Drosophila melanogaster: one gene and its partner. The protein of the gene in region 2 purifies or fractionates together with the protein of the main gene of each other region. This does not show direct contact. Each region holds a gene or a part of one and is shown on either strand. Other genes may lie near its edges.

Region 1 (7,922 bases), on a different chromosome or scaffold from region 2:
GATAGATACCCTCCTGCAGCATGCCCCGGGCCTCCACCTCCTCCACGCAGCGGCGCACCACGAAGGGTATCTGGTGGTGGGGCTCCAGCTGCACCATCGTGGTCAGATCCGTGCCAAATACGCCGCGTATGCGCTTCAGATCCGGCACACACTTGGGCGGCACCAGTTCGGAGCACTTGCTGTGCGCCACAAAGCCGCACGCCTCACACTTGACGCCCTGGGCGGTGAATCCCCACAAGAAGTTGGCGCAGAACTCGCACCAATTGAGCCCCTTAAACGTGTGCACCTGTTTGGATCAGAATCTTCCATTAGATGCTATGATCCTTTATAGTTGGCTTCTTATGTCTGAACACACACCTTGAAGTGATGCGGCTTCTCGTAGACCAGCGGCATGGGATCCACGGCTGGAGGCGGTGGCTCCTCCTGCTTCTGCTCCTTCTCCTCGGCTGGCGATTCCTTCGATTCCTTGGCGGCGGCCTTGCCCAGCTCATTGGACAGAGCCCTAAGTTTCCGGCCATTTAAGGTCATGTATGGGCTTTGCTGGTAGCAGTTCTTGGTCTGCTGGTTAATCTGCTGGATGATGGGACTGGCGTGGAGCTGCATGTGAAAGTTGATCAGCCCGTCGGCGACCATGTCGTGCACCGTGTCGAAGCGCTTGTCCTGGCCGCGCAGATAGTGTCCCACGCCGGGCTTATAGAGGAGCTTGTAGTGCTTGGGTCGCTTGTTGAAGCGCAGGCTAAGCGTGTAGTAGCCATCGGATTGGGGGCTCCGGCGTACAAAGTAGCTGCCGTCGCGGGCATTGGCCAGCAGCTGCTCCGCCTCCAGGTGGCCCATCAGGCCATGGTACTCGGAGCCGTATAGCCTGCCCGCCAAGTTATTGGCCTCCACGGCCTCAGCCGTGCTTTTCGCCGGCGGAAGGGGCAGTGTTCGCTGGCAGCGCAGTGGACATGGAGCCGGTGCCTCCAGCTGCAGTTTGTACACTGTGCGTGGGCGGGTAAATGGGTAAGGGGATGGTTAGTCATATCATAAGCTTGTGGGTGGCATACGAGGTGCTTCTCCACTCACATTCCGGCTTCCAAACCTTCTGAACCGGAGAACTGGGCTCGGGGGCACCGCCTACTCCGCCGGATCCACCGGTATTCGCATTTCCGGCGCCCGCCTCCGTGTTCCGGGGCATCCTCCCTCGGATTAGCAGGCCACTTGGTCAAAAGCCACTAAGTAGGCGGCGAATAATTAAGGAATGCAGCCAATTAAGTAAAGTATACAAATAATTTTGTCCGAGCGAGCAGAGCTGCCAGACTGGCGAAAATTAGCGCGGTATTAAAGTCGGAAGAATACTAAATTTAAATGACTATAACTTTAGATAAACTTTATAGTAAGCTTATTGAATTTATTGATAGCTAAACTACATTATATTGTTTTGTAAATACTGTAGTATGCAGTGGTTCTCACTTAATAATCAGTTTAAAAATGTCCGAAAGCTCAGAGCACAAGAGCTCGCAAAAAATACCACAAACAATTTGCTTAATTTCAGTTAAGTTTCCTAAATATTTCAAAAATTTGCATCAGTCGTAATTTTAAGCAGCCATTTATTTGATTGCCATCCGCTTTCAACAAGAAATAAAAACAAGAGCTAAGGTTTCAATTGGTTTAATAGTTTAAGTACGTTTCTTTTGTAAAAAGACCTACACATTCATTGGATCTCATTTCATTATTTATTAAATACAAATATTAAATTATTTAAAAAAAAATAAACATGTAAAACTTCAAAATGCGCATTTAAATACGGACACACGCCACCGACGCATATCAGCTTTAATTTAGAAATACTTTTTCGTGATACTCTGGCTTTCCTTCCTTCCATTGAAGTATACTATGGTAATTCATATATATATATATATAAATGTATCGAGTGTGATTGGTACAAAAGAACGACTGCACTAGTTGATAATTACTGATTAACCTTCTAGTGTCAATTTTAGAATAATACGCACATTCACAGACGCGGTAATTAGTTATGGTTAATCATGAATCTATGTCTACATCGTTGGTTAATTTTGGAAGTGGGAATAGCTCCAATCTCGTAGTTTTAGTTTTTAGTTTTCAGTTATTAGCTGCTTGTGTTAAGCACTTTCCCCTGTATTTGTTATATCTCGATATCCTTGGTCGTTGTCCTTGGTTTTGAATGCTTTAATGCCGGGGTAAGAATGGCTAAGTTGGAATCACGGAGTTGGAACTTCTGGCGGAATGAACGGCTCATCTATGTGTAGCTTGGCAGGTGTGTTTAGTGTTGGTGTGTTGTATTGTGTTGGATATAGCGTTGCTTCTATTGTCGTGTCGCTGGACAGTTGAACAGCTAGAATCGGTCTGATCCTAACCGCTCATGACCATGCGCACGAACTCCTCGTAGTTGATGTTGCCCTGCTGGTCCTCCATGTTGGCCAGCAGCTGCTCGACCTCCTCGTCGGTGAGCTTCTCGCCCAGCGTGGTCAGCAGGTGGCGCAGCTCGGCGGAGGAGATATAACCGCTGGCGTCCTTGTCGAAGTGACGCAGTCCTTCGATGAAATCATCAGCCGTATCGCCCGAGCGGGCCTTGGAGATCGCCTGATAGATGGGCAGGAACACCTCGAACGAGATGCGCTCGTCGGGCTTCAGCTGGTGGGTGCACTTCTTGACATCCGACTCGGTGGGGTTCTGGCCCAGGGCCCTCAGACACTCGCCCACCTGGCTCAGCTGAATTTTGCCATCTCCGCGGTTGTCGAACAGGTTGAAGGCCTCCTGGAATTCTGCGAATGGAAAGTGCGTGCTGATTGTTGGCAGATGCTTTACAAATCTTAATTATTATCGTTACAACTTACAAGAACCCTTCGATAAGGGATATAATATATAATACCTACATAACTACTACATATAAACGTATGGAAATGTGAGGGGGAACTATAGCTTTCTACCACCCACTAAATGGCTAAATGGATCACCTTCCAGTGTGGTAAAGGTTTGCTTCACATGCGCCGTATAGTAATACATATTGAACCACTCCGATGACCGTTTTGCCAGCTACTGACTGCCTGAAACTCCGCCTGCCCGGATTTGGCTGGCCATCGGATCGAAGCGGATCGGATCGGCTCCGATGCAAGCCACCACTCCGCCTTCCTTGGCCATGGTATACCCTCACGTCGCTGGCAAACTTCGTTTCTCTACCGGGAACTGCCTGCTTGCAAGTAAGATAAACAACCCAGAAATCCTAAGTTTCAAAGTTTTTCGTTTCGAGGCGTGACATCGCAAGTCCATTTCGCGTGCAGTTGGATTTAAGCAAGTGATGGTGTAAGTTAACCAAGCTGCAAAAGTTCTGCGATCTACGTGCGTAAATAGAACATTGTGGTTGGGCTCAATATTTTGTTTTCAGATCCTCTAAAGATCTGAGCACTAGAGTGTTCACCATTCGATGAATTGCTGGGATGTGTTCGGTTATCATGCGAATACGAGATCCAAAAATGGCAATAAAAACAAACGAATCCAGCACATTTTTGTCCATTTTAGGCAATGACAAAACGTCGACGGCTGGCTAAAGATTGCAACAAGGTAAGTTGGAATTGGAAAATAAATATATGGTATATGGCTCGTACATAGGCATATGCGGTTGAACGCTGACGTCAGAGTGTCACGAATCCAGCATGACGGAATTATCAGAGACCATTGACTTTGATTAGGTTAAACGAGGGGATTGCGTAAAGATTCGATTCGATTTGATTCGCCATGGAATCGAAATCGTGTTGCATTTTTACTTAGAGAGAAGGTGATGTTCCGTAAATGGAAGCTGGTTTTTTTTTTTTTTGTCAACTGACTGGCTTCTTATCGCATGGCTATTCGGTTTTTGCAACTGCAATTGCAGTTTTATTTGAAACGAGCAGCCGGCGAGTCAGAAAACCGGGTGATTATCCCATTAGACCGCTCTGTTATCTATATTTTATCGCTCACTTCCTTTCGCTTAAACAGTGTTTTTTTTTTTTTTTTGTACTCATACCGAGGTGTTGGTTATGATTATAAGCGACCAGTTTCTGTCTTACAATAACTGCTCTTATGATGACCTACAAACTTGGTTTACACTAGCTTAAGACTAGCACTAGCTTGTTGGCAGAAACTAACTAGCTGATGGTCGAATAAGTTTGTTGCCTGCTATGCATATTATCAATTAACTTGGTGTGGGTTTCGGATAACCGAAAGAACTCGGATTTATCAAGAGATATTAATGCGAAACTTGGTACACAGCCGTGTGTCGCTATTCTATGAAGCTATTCCTTGGACGAACATAATCTGCTGATCAAAGCCCAAAAGTAGCACAGTTTCGATATGTGTTGTCAGCTTGATCTCGGATGTCTTTCGAAGTCATCACGTCAAACTTTGCCTACAGCTGCTCTTAATTAAAGCATTTTGGACAGGGTATTGCAGTGTTTCGGTTTTGGGACTTTCTCGCCGCTTTTTAGGTGAGTCACGATCGTATTCGTATGGCTGCCGTCTGCCTTCCAGCGTATTTGCTTTATCAATGATTCATGCACACCACACAAATGTACGTGCCATCGCTTTCCCGCATTCCAATGCTGTGTGGGAGTGGGAGGGAGAGGGCGCTAGGTGCCAGCGCACATATCAATACTATACACATATATATATCTGTATATATATATATATGCGATTTGCCCGACTTTTGACTCCTGGTACTTGACCCCGTCTGGTCCTCGTGCGATTCAACTCACCAGCCAACTGATCCTCGGTATAAGCTGCCTGCGGGGAGAGAGAGAGGGGAAAGAAAGGAAAACAATGAAGGAAACTTGAGTGCTGGCTTCCAAAGGCGCCGGAAAGCGCACTTCCAGTGCGATCGTAAACAGTAAACAGCGCCGCAATAAACAGCCTGCACTCACCATATCGATTTGTTTTTAGCTATCTGAGGGAAAACAACACAAAATACACGAAATATTGAATATTGAATTCGACGTCGAAACAAAACGCAAGCAAATTCTGAAACGTTGTTGGTGTTAGTGGTCGCCGATAGTGGGCGCAATCGATAGGCCACTCGAAATTCGATAGGTGCGACAACATCGATGAGTGCAGGGAGTTTAGTGAAATCGAGCAGTGCTGCCAGATCGTTTCACAAGAAACCGCCACACGTGCCGCCGATTTGTTTTGATTTTGGATGCATTGGATCCTGGCCAAATTAGTTAGTCCCCGATGAGCACACAGAAGGTGGAGTACGACGCTGCGTTGGGCGGCCGGGTCACACTGCCGTCGCACGTGACCACGTACCATTATGCGGCCGAGGCGCTGCAGGAGATTCGCAATTTGGTGGCCGACTGCCAGGAGACGACGCAGCGGAGCAGCAAGCTAATCTTCCAGACGCTGCCCAAGCACATGCGCCGCCGCGCCATGTCGCACCATCCCAAGCGACTGCCGCGCAAGTACCGACAGGCGCACAAGTCCCAAATGGGCAAAAGCGGCAACCAGCCGGTGAATGGGAAACGACCATCGAGGAAGTACCGCCGGAGACCCAAGAATCTGATGCGTGAGTACGTGCGCCGGCAGAGGCGGCACGTCTGGCTGGAGACGCACATCTGGCACGCGAAGCGATTCCACATGGTTGACCGCTGGGGCCACCGGTTGCCCTACGCCAGCTGCGACAAGACCTACCGCGCTTGCTATCGCGCCAGCGCCGAGCACTGCCTGCTGCAGGACATCTCGTTCTATGGTTGCGTGGAGTTGCGGGGACCCTTGGACATGCTACGCGAGGGATTCGCCCGGCTAACAAGTCCGCAGTGTGGCCTTGGGATCACGGCCCGGACTTTTCTGAGCGGACGACGTGAGGGCAGCGTGGAGTTATTTGAGGATGGCCGCTATCCGTATGGAGCCCTGCAGCGGGCCAGTTTTATGTGGCGGCCACGGCGGGAGGAGGAGGATGAGAAACAGACGAATCACACGCTCTGGCTGTGGCTACATCCCAGTGGCGCTCAAGCTGTTCTAAATCAGCTTATAAGCGTGTTCCAGCTGAAATCCACAAGGCAACAAAAGCTGCCTTTAAACGAGGCTGTGACTGAGGAAAAGATGGATGTGGATAAGATTGAGCCAGTCGAGTTGTCCAAGGAAACATCGCCTGGCAAGAAAAACTCGAAGAAGAAGCCTGAACAGAGGCCCCTGCGCTTCTGGACAAAAACGAAAGCATTCGATCCACAGCCTAGCTACTTCAATTCCGACGGCACTCTCCACTTGGTACTGCTGCAGCGGGAGTTTAATCGTTTCCGTTTGACAGGGCCTAGAGCCCAAAAAGTTCTTTTTGCCAGCTTACGTCCGCATCGAGAAGAGGAGCTCCAGGATAAAGCCAACTACTGTCAGGCAGCCTTGCAGCTGAGCTCGCCCGCCGAACTGCTGTCCAATCTGGTGATGGCCCACCTTGTAGTGGATCCGCGCCTGCAGCGGCCCAAGAAGCGTACGAAAGCAGTCGGCAAAATGGAACAGCCACCATTATCCGCCGGCGATCTTCTCATGAATCAGCCAAAGAGTCTGCCGGAGAGTCCTCTGTGGAGCAAGAAGGCGAGAGAGCGGCTGGCCAAAGGCATTATGTCCGCGCACAAGTACGACCAGCTGCGAGAACAACATGCCGTTGTGCCAGGAGCTCCATGTGCCTTCGAACAGCAAATGCAGGCGCTTCCCGTGATACTTATTCAAAGACCAGGATCTCAGGACCCCAGATACAAGAGATTGGGCTACGGCTGCGGCTGGGATGTGATTGCACCGGCAGGATACGGCATGACCCTCTGGCTAACACTCACCATGTGGGGCGCCAGACCCGGCGGATTGAGGGAACTGGATTCGGTGGCTAGGGAGGCAGGTGCCGAAATACATCTGCCAGATACATTAGCGGGTAAAAAGTGTTTTATACTCTGGCGTATTCTATATTCCCTTAATCATCTCACTTTGCATCTGTTTAGGAGTTCAAAGAGCTGCTGCTTCGGCGGATGAGCTCCGTGCCCGGTATTTCCGTATGCCGCCCAATAAGCGTACCAATTACCGAAAGTTGGCCGTGGTCAGTCCGTTTACTGCACCCTGGAGGCATCTAGTGCGCGACTGGCGTGCATCATTCAGTTCTGCGAGCGAGGGATCATCGTTCTATGTGCTGCGGCATCGCCAGCAGCTGGAGGAGATTGTCGAGAGTATTCGACATCGTAGCCCACTGCCACAGACTCTGCCCGACGACGCCATCATACAGATTCAACTTCAATTGCTATCCCGTGGCCATGTGAAGGACAACGCCCTGATTTGCTTGCCCACGGCGGCGGATCACAAGAAGCGCTGGCGACAGCTAAAGCACAACGACCAGGCCCCCGTTCACGTGGAGCCAACGCAACCGGACCTGAATGAACAGTTGCGCAAGGAGCTACGCCAGAGTCACAAGCTAAAGCTGAAGCGATTGCGATCGAGAAGGGTGCGTGAGAAGCGGCGCCTTCAGGAGACTGCCACCAAACGTGTCCACATACGGCCAGCGAATACGGCTCATCTCGTACGTGGCCAACTACAGGAGATGTGCCGCCTGTGGCTGCCCACCGATCCGGCGGAGCTGCGGGACAGTGTGCGTCGCCAGTGTAGTCGCCAAGTGTTTGGCTACGTGAGCACGGCCGGCTTCAGCTTCACGGAGGCACTCGTCTGTGCAGTGGGCTATGTGACACCCGCCGGCCTGCAGCAGCTCATCGAGGAGCTCCCAGCATCTAAGGGCAACCGCAAACAGCCGCCGCTAATGTGCCTGGTGCGCGATGCGGATAGCCGCGACTATCGCTGGGCCAGCTTTCAGGTCAACCTGAATGTGGCTAGTCCAACCTTTTGATCGACTTTAGTTAGTAGTCAGTAGTTACTTAGTTGTAAGTTAAATCCAATCGTGTCTT
Region 2 (7,922 bases):
GCATCGTCCAACTCGGATTCGCTTTCCTCCTCCTCCTCGGCCTCCACTTCATCGAACAGTGTTTGCAGTGGAGTGACTATAAAAGTGTTACATAATGGAAGTGATAATTAGATTCTGTCACGTTTTATTTTTAAACCTACATCTTTCCGTCTCCTCTCCGCATGTGGGCGCCAGATCGACGAAGGATTCATCTGGATACAGGTCCAGCAAATGTGAGCGATGCTGCTTCTTGATCCCCTCATACTTTTGCGCATCCTCCGTGTCCACGGACGAAGCTTCTCCTGATTCTGGGGGTGATGCTAGCTTATCGGCCTCCTCCTTGGGTTCCTCCTCCTGGTCTATGCCGTCGTGTTTCTCCAGTTGCGATGTGCTGCTCGAAGTGGAGGTCGACGTGTGAGCCATCTCCGTGTCCAGTTCCTGGTACTGGCGCTTTGTGGCCCTACGTGCACGTCGTGAACTGCTGCCGGAACGGTTCGAGCTGCTCATTGCCGGCGAAGCCGCTGTCCCGCCATATTTGGCCAGCAGCTCCTCGATGGGCATCTCGCTCTCCTCGCGCAGCGTGGCGATCTCGTCCTCGGCACTGTGCGCCTCCATGTCCGCCAGAGCCTCCTCCTCGTTCAGCGTGGCCTCGTCGTCAAAGTCGTTGACCATCATGTCGATGGTGGGCTCAAAGGTGGTGTCCGCCACCGAGGACGACGGCGACATTGGCGGTTGGACGCTGGTGCTGTTGTTGTCCGAACTGGTGGCCGGCGACTTGCGGCGCTCCCGCTTGGTGGGCGTGACGGCCAGATCGCTGTTTGCCAGGCTGCCGGAGTCCGCCGACGCCTCGGAAGCGCTGTGCTGGGAGTGATCCGACGATTTCCCGAACTCCATCATTTTCCGTACACACAGTGTGGCAGCAGCCAGAGCGCCAAAATATCTGCACTTCGCCTGCGCAAATGCGCTAAAAAACGGCACTAACTGGGATATTCCTTTTTTAGTTGGGGTACTCCTATATATTCGAAATTTGTTTTTGTTTGGCTTTCCAAAGTAATGCTTAATTACACGAATTTTAAGATTCAGTTTTTCTGCCTTTTCAAATTTAAGTGATATGTGCTCTTCTTATGTATAAATCACTTTATCAATATTTTAGCAAGCTTGACAACATTTTCCACGTTGACATGTCCATATATTTTACATTATAAGCTGCTCGAAAAATAAAAAAATTATATTCAAATATCAATCAATTATTTTTCTACCGCAATATATAAACTTTCCAAATAATTTAATTATGTGCAATTTTTCTTTACATATTAGTTGATAAAACAGAAACGAATAATTTGAAATTTTTTTATTGAAAACATTTTTGTAGTTGCGCTTAAAAATAGGAATGAATGAATTTGCGGTTGGTTTTGAATGAGATAAATGTAATAAAATTAACAAATACGAATGGTGTTCTTTCCCATGACAACAATTGCGCCCTCATCTTGCACCTCCTTCAGGGCATCTTCAAATTGCTCGCGTGTGATCATCTGCAATAAATTATCGTTTACATTGATTTTATATTATAAATATATTATATTAGCACTTACAATTTGGGATCCTTCCTTAATATCGCTAAACAGTTTCTGATAGGGAACTGTGAGAACTTTGCCCTTCTTCTTGAGGTTTTCCTTGATGGCTGCCACCAGATCGGCGCGCTTTTTGCGAGCGGCTGTTGATAAGCCGGTGGTGAGAATGCCCACGTCAATTTTGCCGGACAGGGGATCCGTGGCCGACTGCTTGAGAGCCTCGCGATGAAGCCGCCAAGCCTCCTCCACGTCCAGCAATTCCACCTGGTTGCTGAGACGCACCTTGGCGTGCGCCTCCGACAGTCGGATGAGACTCTCCAGCTGGCGCGGGTAAGCAGAGATCTGGCCACGACCGGCGCCCACCTTTCGCATGTCCACGTAGGCCTGAATGAGTCGTTGTTGCGCTTCATCCGACAACGTAGGCGACAGATGTTCGCGGGCATAGGCGATGTAGTCGCGCAGGACGCTCATGTCCTGAAAATTGATTGAATATGTTACAGAGATATTCCGGAGAAATACCAACAATTGATCCAAGCTACTTACAAACATGGTATCCTCCTCCTCATGACGCGTCACATAGTACAAAGATACCAAATGGCTGGCCAGTCGCTTGTCAAAGATCTCATCCTGGGGATCCAGGACCAGAAAGATTAGGTCGAAGCGGGACAACAGGGTGTGCGGAAGCTGGACGTTATCAATGATGTTCTTGCGCTTATTCCACTGAGACTCGGCGGGATTGGCGGCAGCAAGAATCGAGGTCCTCGCGTTTAGCTGACAGATGATTCCCGCCTTGGCAATACTCAGTGTCTGCTGCTCCATCACCTCGTGCAGCACACTGCGTGTCGAGTCGTTCATCTTGTCAAACTCGTCAATGCAGCAAACTCCATTATCGGCCAAAACCAGTGCACCTCTGAAAACAAGCCATAAGATTACAACCTAAATTCGAATCTGATTCAAGCTTTTAGATTTACGTTTGCAGAACCAGCTGGCGAGTCTCCGGATCTTTGGTCACATAGGCAGTCAAACCGACGGCCGAAGAACCGCGACCGGAGGTGTACTGTGATCTTGGCACGAGGTTGAAGACGTACTGCAGCATCTGGGACTTGGAAGTACCCGGATCACCGCATAACAGCAGGTGAATTTCCGATCTGAAATTCTGGCGGCCGAGAGTTGCATGCTTCTTCTTGGTGCCACCAAAGAGCTGCAGCAAGATGCCTTTCTTGATGTCGTCGTTCTCGTAAATAGATGGGGCAATGGCCCTGGCCAAGCGGTCGTAGATGTCCGGTTTCTTGGCCAGCAATTGTAGCAGCTCAACGCGTTCTGGCGGGAAGATGTGATCCTTACTGGTAGGTAATTAAAATTATCAAATTTTATTCTAACCAGTAATAAAATGCAAGACTTACCCCTCCTCATCCTCGTACAGTCGCTTGTTGTCCACCTTCCGGAAGTGAACCACATCCACGTGCGTCTTATACACACTTTTTACCGACGAACTGAGGCCTCCAGTCTTCAGTGGCGTCGCCCGATAGATGCCTGTGACCGTGACGCGATCACCAGGCTGCACCTTGTCCACCAGATCGTTGTGAGCATACAAAAGCACATTATGCGGAGTCTGTCCCGCCGCCATGTCATCTGGAGACTCCTGAAGTTTGACAAGCTGCTTATCCGTAAACTCCGATCGATTGTGGATTAAACGGAAGCAGTGGTTCGTGTTGCAGTTGGTGCAGAGCGTGGGCTGGTTAATGCGACCGCGGTCCACCTCGACGGTTGTGCTGAAGGAACAGATGTTGCAACTGAAAAAGGCTTCGCGCATCTCGGGAATGACGTTCGACGAGCGAATGACCATGCCACTAATGCTGATCAACTGGTCCATATCCTCGGGATTTAGGGATCGCATGTTGCGTGTCTTGTCCGCGTTGAAGGGGCGCACTTGAATCTGGTGTTCCAGAAGAGCGGCAGGATAACGCTCAAAGAACATCTCGTTTATGGCCATATCAAAGCCAGGAATAACCTCCTGCGGATAGCAGATCAACTGGCGGTACAAGTCCTGATCAAAGGTCTTGAGATGGGCACAGTTGAGATTCAGATAGGGCTCCTCCAATGTGTGAATCTCCTCCAGCTTCTGAAGATACAGTGGCTGGTTAACATCAATATTCTCGGAGATTTCGTCCTGCTCGGCACTGGGGTCAATAAAGCGCATAATAAACGACTTGAACTTGGATTTGCACTGGCTGACAACAACATTGGTTCCCCAGACGACGAGCTGAGGTGCTTGCGAAGATTCCGATACAGGATCGGTGGTTTCAGAGCCCTTCTCAGGAATTGGTTCGAGCTGTAAAAGCGACTAAACTAATTTGAAAGTCCCAAAATGAGTTGCCAGCGTACACTTACCCCAGAGCCCCCACCGATGGCCACCTGGCGGATGCGCTTGTCCGTTCTTATATCGGGCCGCGCCCGCAGCGGAGTGCCTCTAATTCCGGAACGAGGGGTTCGAATGGACCCCATCGAGCTGGGGGTGCCGTAGTTCAGCGGCGAACTCAGATCGATCTCGCTCATGTTCGCACCCAATCCTCGAGCCGGACTGGTGGCTGGCAAGCTGATGTTTCCCGGCGAGGTGGGCGGCAAACTGATGTTGTCCGAGGGCCGGACAGCCCTCCCGGGACCCATGCGCATGGGTGTCTCCACATCTTGCGACGCAATGCCTGTAAGCAGACAGACGCTTGCTTTGCAAACAGAACACACTTTTTGTGGCACGTCGATACTCACCTCTAGTGGGTGTGCGGGCGCCTTGTTTGGGCGTCGCACCTCCAACACTGGGCGAACGAGCGGGGCTTGACATTTCCTTAGAGAAGATATTTATTTAACCCGTGCGTCCTGGGCGAAAACTGTAGCTGTTGTGAAACAAAAAACGATGCGGTGGGACAGACCAGCTAAAAATTGGCGGGAAAATAACTGTTGCAGTGTTGAAGAATACCAATGGGTGAGTTGAGCAGTGCTGAAAATCTAACTGCAGAGCATTGCGCGCCAAATAATTGGTGCTTTCTGGGGTGTTTTGCAAGAAAAAATTCAGTTACTGTGGCATTATACAAATCTTTTTGCAAGATATTTTACTTTGTTCAAATTTAATCCATGGTTAGAACCACACATTTCTAATTTGGCCCAAACTGCACGCCCTTTGGCAACCCTGCCCTTTTGCCAACAACAAAACATAAGTCAGTCAGTCAGGCGGTGACAGGGACGGAAGTTTGTTTGTTTTTCTCACACTTTGGCGTTGCGATCTAAAAATTATCAATGTTTTTATAAATTATTCCTGGCTAATTTTAAGTAATTTAGGACAGTACATTTACATAAACCCAAAAAAAGACCACGAAAATGGTAATTTAAATAGGCTGTCAGAGCCAGAAAAAAAACGTACCACCAAGGAAATTAAACCTAACGGGATTTATGCACCCAACTCACTCCCACGCGGAGTAGGAAGAAGGAGAGGAGAGAAAGAAGGAGCGCGAAGCGGAACCTGGAGTAGGAGGAGGAGCCAGTGGAACCATGTCTAGCGAGGAGATGCTATACGCGCAGGTATTGCACAGTATATATTGATGCCCTACAAGTGCATCGTGGCAGATTGCGGCGGTGTCGGTGTCGTCTGCAAATGGTGCCAATATAAAATCGCACCCATAACGTGATTTCCCCCGTCCGAAGTGTGTGTGTGTGTGTGTGTGTGTGTGCAGGCCATTCGACAGTTCTTGGCCCTGATTTGTTCCCATGGCAGGTGATTAGCCATTGATGACTGCATCGCAGCACCCGAAATGTTTAAAAATGATTCATCTACATACAATATTCGCGGGTGTCTTATCGACAGGGGAATGGGTTGTGTGATAAGCTCGATTGATAAGACACCAGGTCGGGTGACGTCTCTAGAGGGGATCGGGCATAACTCCCATTCATAAAACTTGTTAATTCGGCTCACTTCTTTCGCAGGGCGCCAAGATCTGGGTGCCCCATGCGGATCTGGTGTGGGAGAGCGCCACCTTGGAGGAGAGCTACCGCAAGGGCGCCGGCTTCTTGAAGATATGTACGGACTCCGGAAAACTGAAAGAGGTCAAGCTAAAGGCCGATGGCAGCGATCTGCCTCCACTGCGCAATCCGGCCATTCTGGTGGGACAGAACGACTTGACCACCCTGTCCTACCTGCATGAGCCGGGGGTGTTGCACAATCTGCGTGTCCGCTTCTGCGAGCGCCAGATTATCTACACCTACTGCGGCATCATTCTGGTGGCCATCAACCCGTACGCGGAGATGCCTCTTTACGGGCCCAGCATAATCCGAGCGTATCGGGGTCATGCTATGGGTGATCTGGAGCCGCACATCTTTGCCCTGGCGGAGGAGGCGTACACGAAACTGGAGCGCGAGAACTGCAACCTGAGCATCATCGTCAGTGGGGAGTCGGGTGCGGGCAAGACGGTGTCCGCCAAATACGCCATGAGGTACTTTGCCGCTGTTGGAGGTTCCGAGTCGGAGACCCAGGTCGAACGCAAGGTGCTGGCATCTTCGCCGATCATGGAAGCCTTCGGAAATGCCAAGACGACCCGGAATGACAACAGTTCCCGCTTTGGAAAGTTTACCAAGCTGCTGTTCCGGAACCAGATGGGTGTGATGTTCCTGCAGGGAGCCACTATGCACACCTACCTACTGGAGAAGTCACGTGTGGTGTACCAGGCCCAGGGAGAGCGCAACTATCACATATTCTATCAGCTGTGCGCGGCGCGATCGAAGTACCCTGAACTGGTGCTGGGTATGTCTGGAAGCTCCCTCCTATTTCAGCTTAGAAAATGAAGTAATATTTCCATTCTCTCAAAGATCACCAGGACAAATTCCAGTTTCTGAACATGGGTGGCGCTCCTGAAATTGAACGAGTTTCGGATGCGGAGCAGTTTAACGAAACCGTGCAGGCCATGACAGTTCTGGGCTTCTCCATTCAACAGATCGCTGATATCGTAAAGATCCTGGCAGGAATACTCCATTTAGGAAACATTCAGGTTTCCAAGAAGTTCAACGAGGGCAGCGAAGAGGAGGACAGTGACTCTTGCGATATATTTGTAAGCTCACTTTCGTAAAACCTGATGACAATTTCTGAGTTATATATGTACTTTAACTTCATCCATCTCGTAGCATAACGACATCCACCTGCAGATCACCGCCGATCTACTGCGGGTGAGCGCCGATGATCTGCGCCGGTGGCTTTTGATGCGTAAGATAGAGTCGGTCAATGAATATGTGCTGATACCGAATAGCATTGAGGCGGCTCAGGCGGCTCGAGACGCTCTGGCCAAGCACATCTATGCGAAACTGTTTCAGTATATAGTCGGTGTGCTGAACAAGAGCCTCAACAACGGTAGCAAGCAGTGCAGCTTCATTGGCGTCCTCGATATCTACGGCTTCGAAACGTTCGAGGTGAACTCCTTTGAACAATTTTGCATAAACTATGCGAACGAAAAGCTTCAGCAGCAGTTCAACCAGCATGTCTTCAAGCTGGAGCAGGAGGAGTATCTTAAGGAAGGAATCACCTGGACGATGATTGACTTTTACGACAATCAACCGTGTATCGATCTAATTGAATCTCGCTTGGGAGTGCTGGACCTGCTCGACGAGGAGTGTCGAGTAAGATTCATTTGACATAGTACATATCATTATTAAACCGGGTCTATCTGCAGATGCCAAAGGGCTCGGACGAGAGCTGGGCTGGCAAGCTCATCGGAAAGTGCAATAAATTTCCGCATTTCGAGAAGCCACGCTTTGGCACAACCAGTAAGTTATTTTCCGATTCTATGCACTATTATTTCGATGACAATCTGTTAATTCTATCTTTGAGGCTTCTTTATCAAACATTTCTCGGACACGGTCGAGTATGACGTGAACGGATTCTTGGAAAAGAATCGTGACACAGTCTCCAAGGAGTTGACGCAAGTGCTAAGCGAGTCCAACATGTCTCTGGCCAAGCAGGTGATGACCCTGGAGGAAATAGATACTCTGTGCGTGGATTCCGCTAAATCCTCCACCTTGGGCGGCCGCGTCGTGATCAGTGCTGGCCGCAAACAGGTTTGTGTTTGACCAGATTCTTCATGGACCCAACAATCGTATTGCTCCAATTTCGTCCAATTGTAATCGTTGTCTTATTGCTATTTGTATTTTCCATACGCTTGTCGTTCGCTCACCGCCAACTCCCTCGGATTGCCCAACAGCAAGGGAATGACACACGTCGAAGAGTTAGTTACCAACTTATTTAAATTAACAGCAATTGACTAACCCTAAACGAATAACCACAAACATTTTAACAATTTAATTCGACTTGGTACATTTGTTTTAATTAAAGTTACT

What was found.
Region 1: the proteins of didum (region 2) and Mlc-c purify together in Drosophila melanogaster (affinity purification with mass spectrometry; 3 studies listed by BioGRID, with this or other methods). This does not show direct contact.

Annotation. Positions count from the first base shown.
Region 1 is NC_004354.4:5,617,501-5,625,422, forward strand, and holds Mlc-c (myosin light chain cytoplasmic), read right to left. Parts: upstream 3,076-7,922; 5' UTR 3,028-3,075; coding exon 2,979-3,027; intron 2,787-2,978; coding exon 2,374-2,786; 3' UTR 1,636-2,373; downstream 1-1,635. Other genes in the region: RhoGAP5A (Rho GTPase activating protein at 5A), read right to left, coding at 1-286, 358-980, 1,066-1,177; POP1 ribonuclease P/MRP subunit, read left to right, coding at 5,224-6,907, 6,975-7,864.
Region 2 is NT_033778.4:7,495,386-7,503,307, forward strand, and holds the start of didum (dilute class unconventional myosin), read left to right. Parts: upstream 1-4,761; 5' UTR 4,762-5,093; coding exon 5,094-5,123; intron 5,124-5,525; coding exon 5,526-6,339; intron 6,340-6,404; coding exon 6,405-6,643; intron 6,644-6,716; coding exon 6,717-7,205; intron 7,206-7,258; coding exon 7,259-7,352; intron 7,353-7,416; coding exon 7,417-7,643; intron 7,644-7,786; coding exon 7,787-7,810; intron 7,811-7,922. Other genes in the region: CG1620 (uncharacterized protein), read right to left, coding at 1-76, 141-876; dpa (disc proliferation abnormal), read right to left, coding at 1,416-1,511, 1,572-2,024, 2,094-2,460, 2,522-2,893, 2,954-3,882, 3,942-4,252, 4,317-4,389.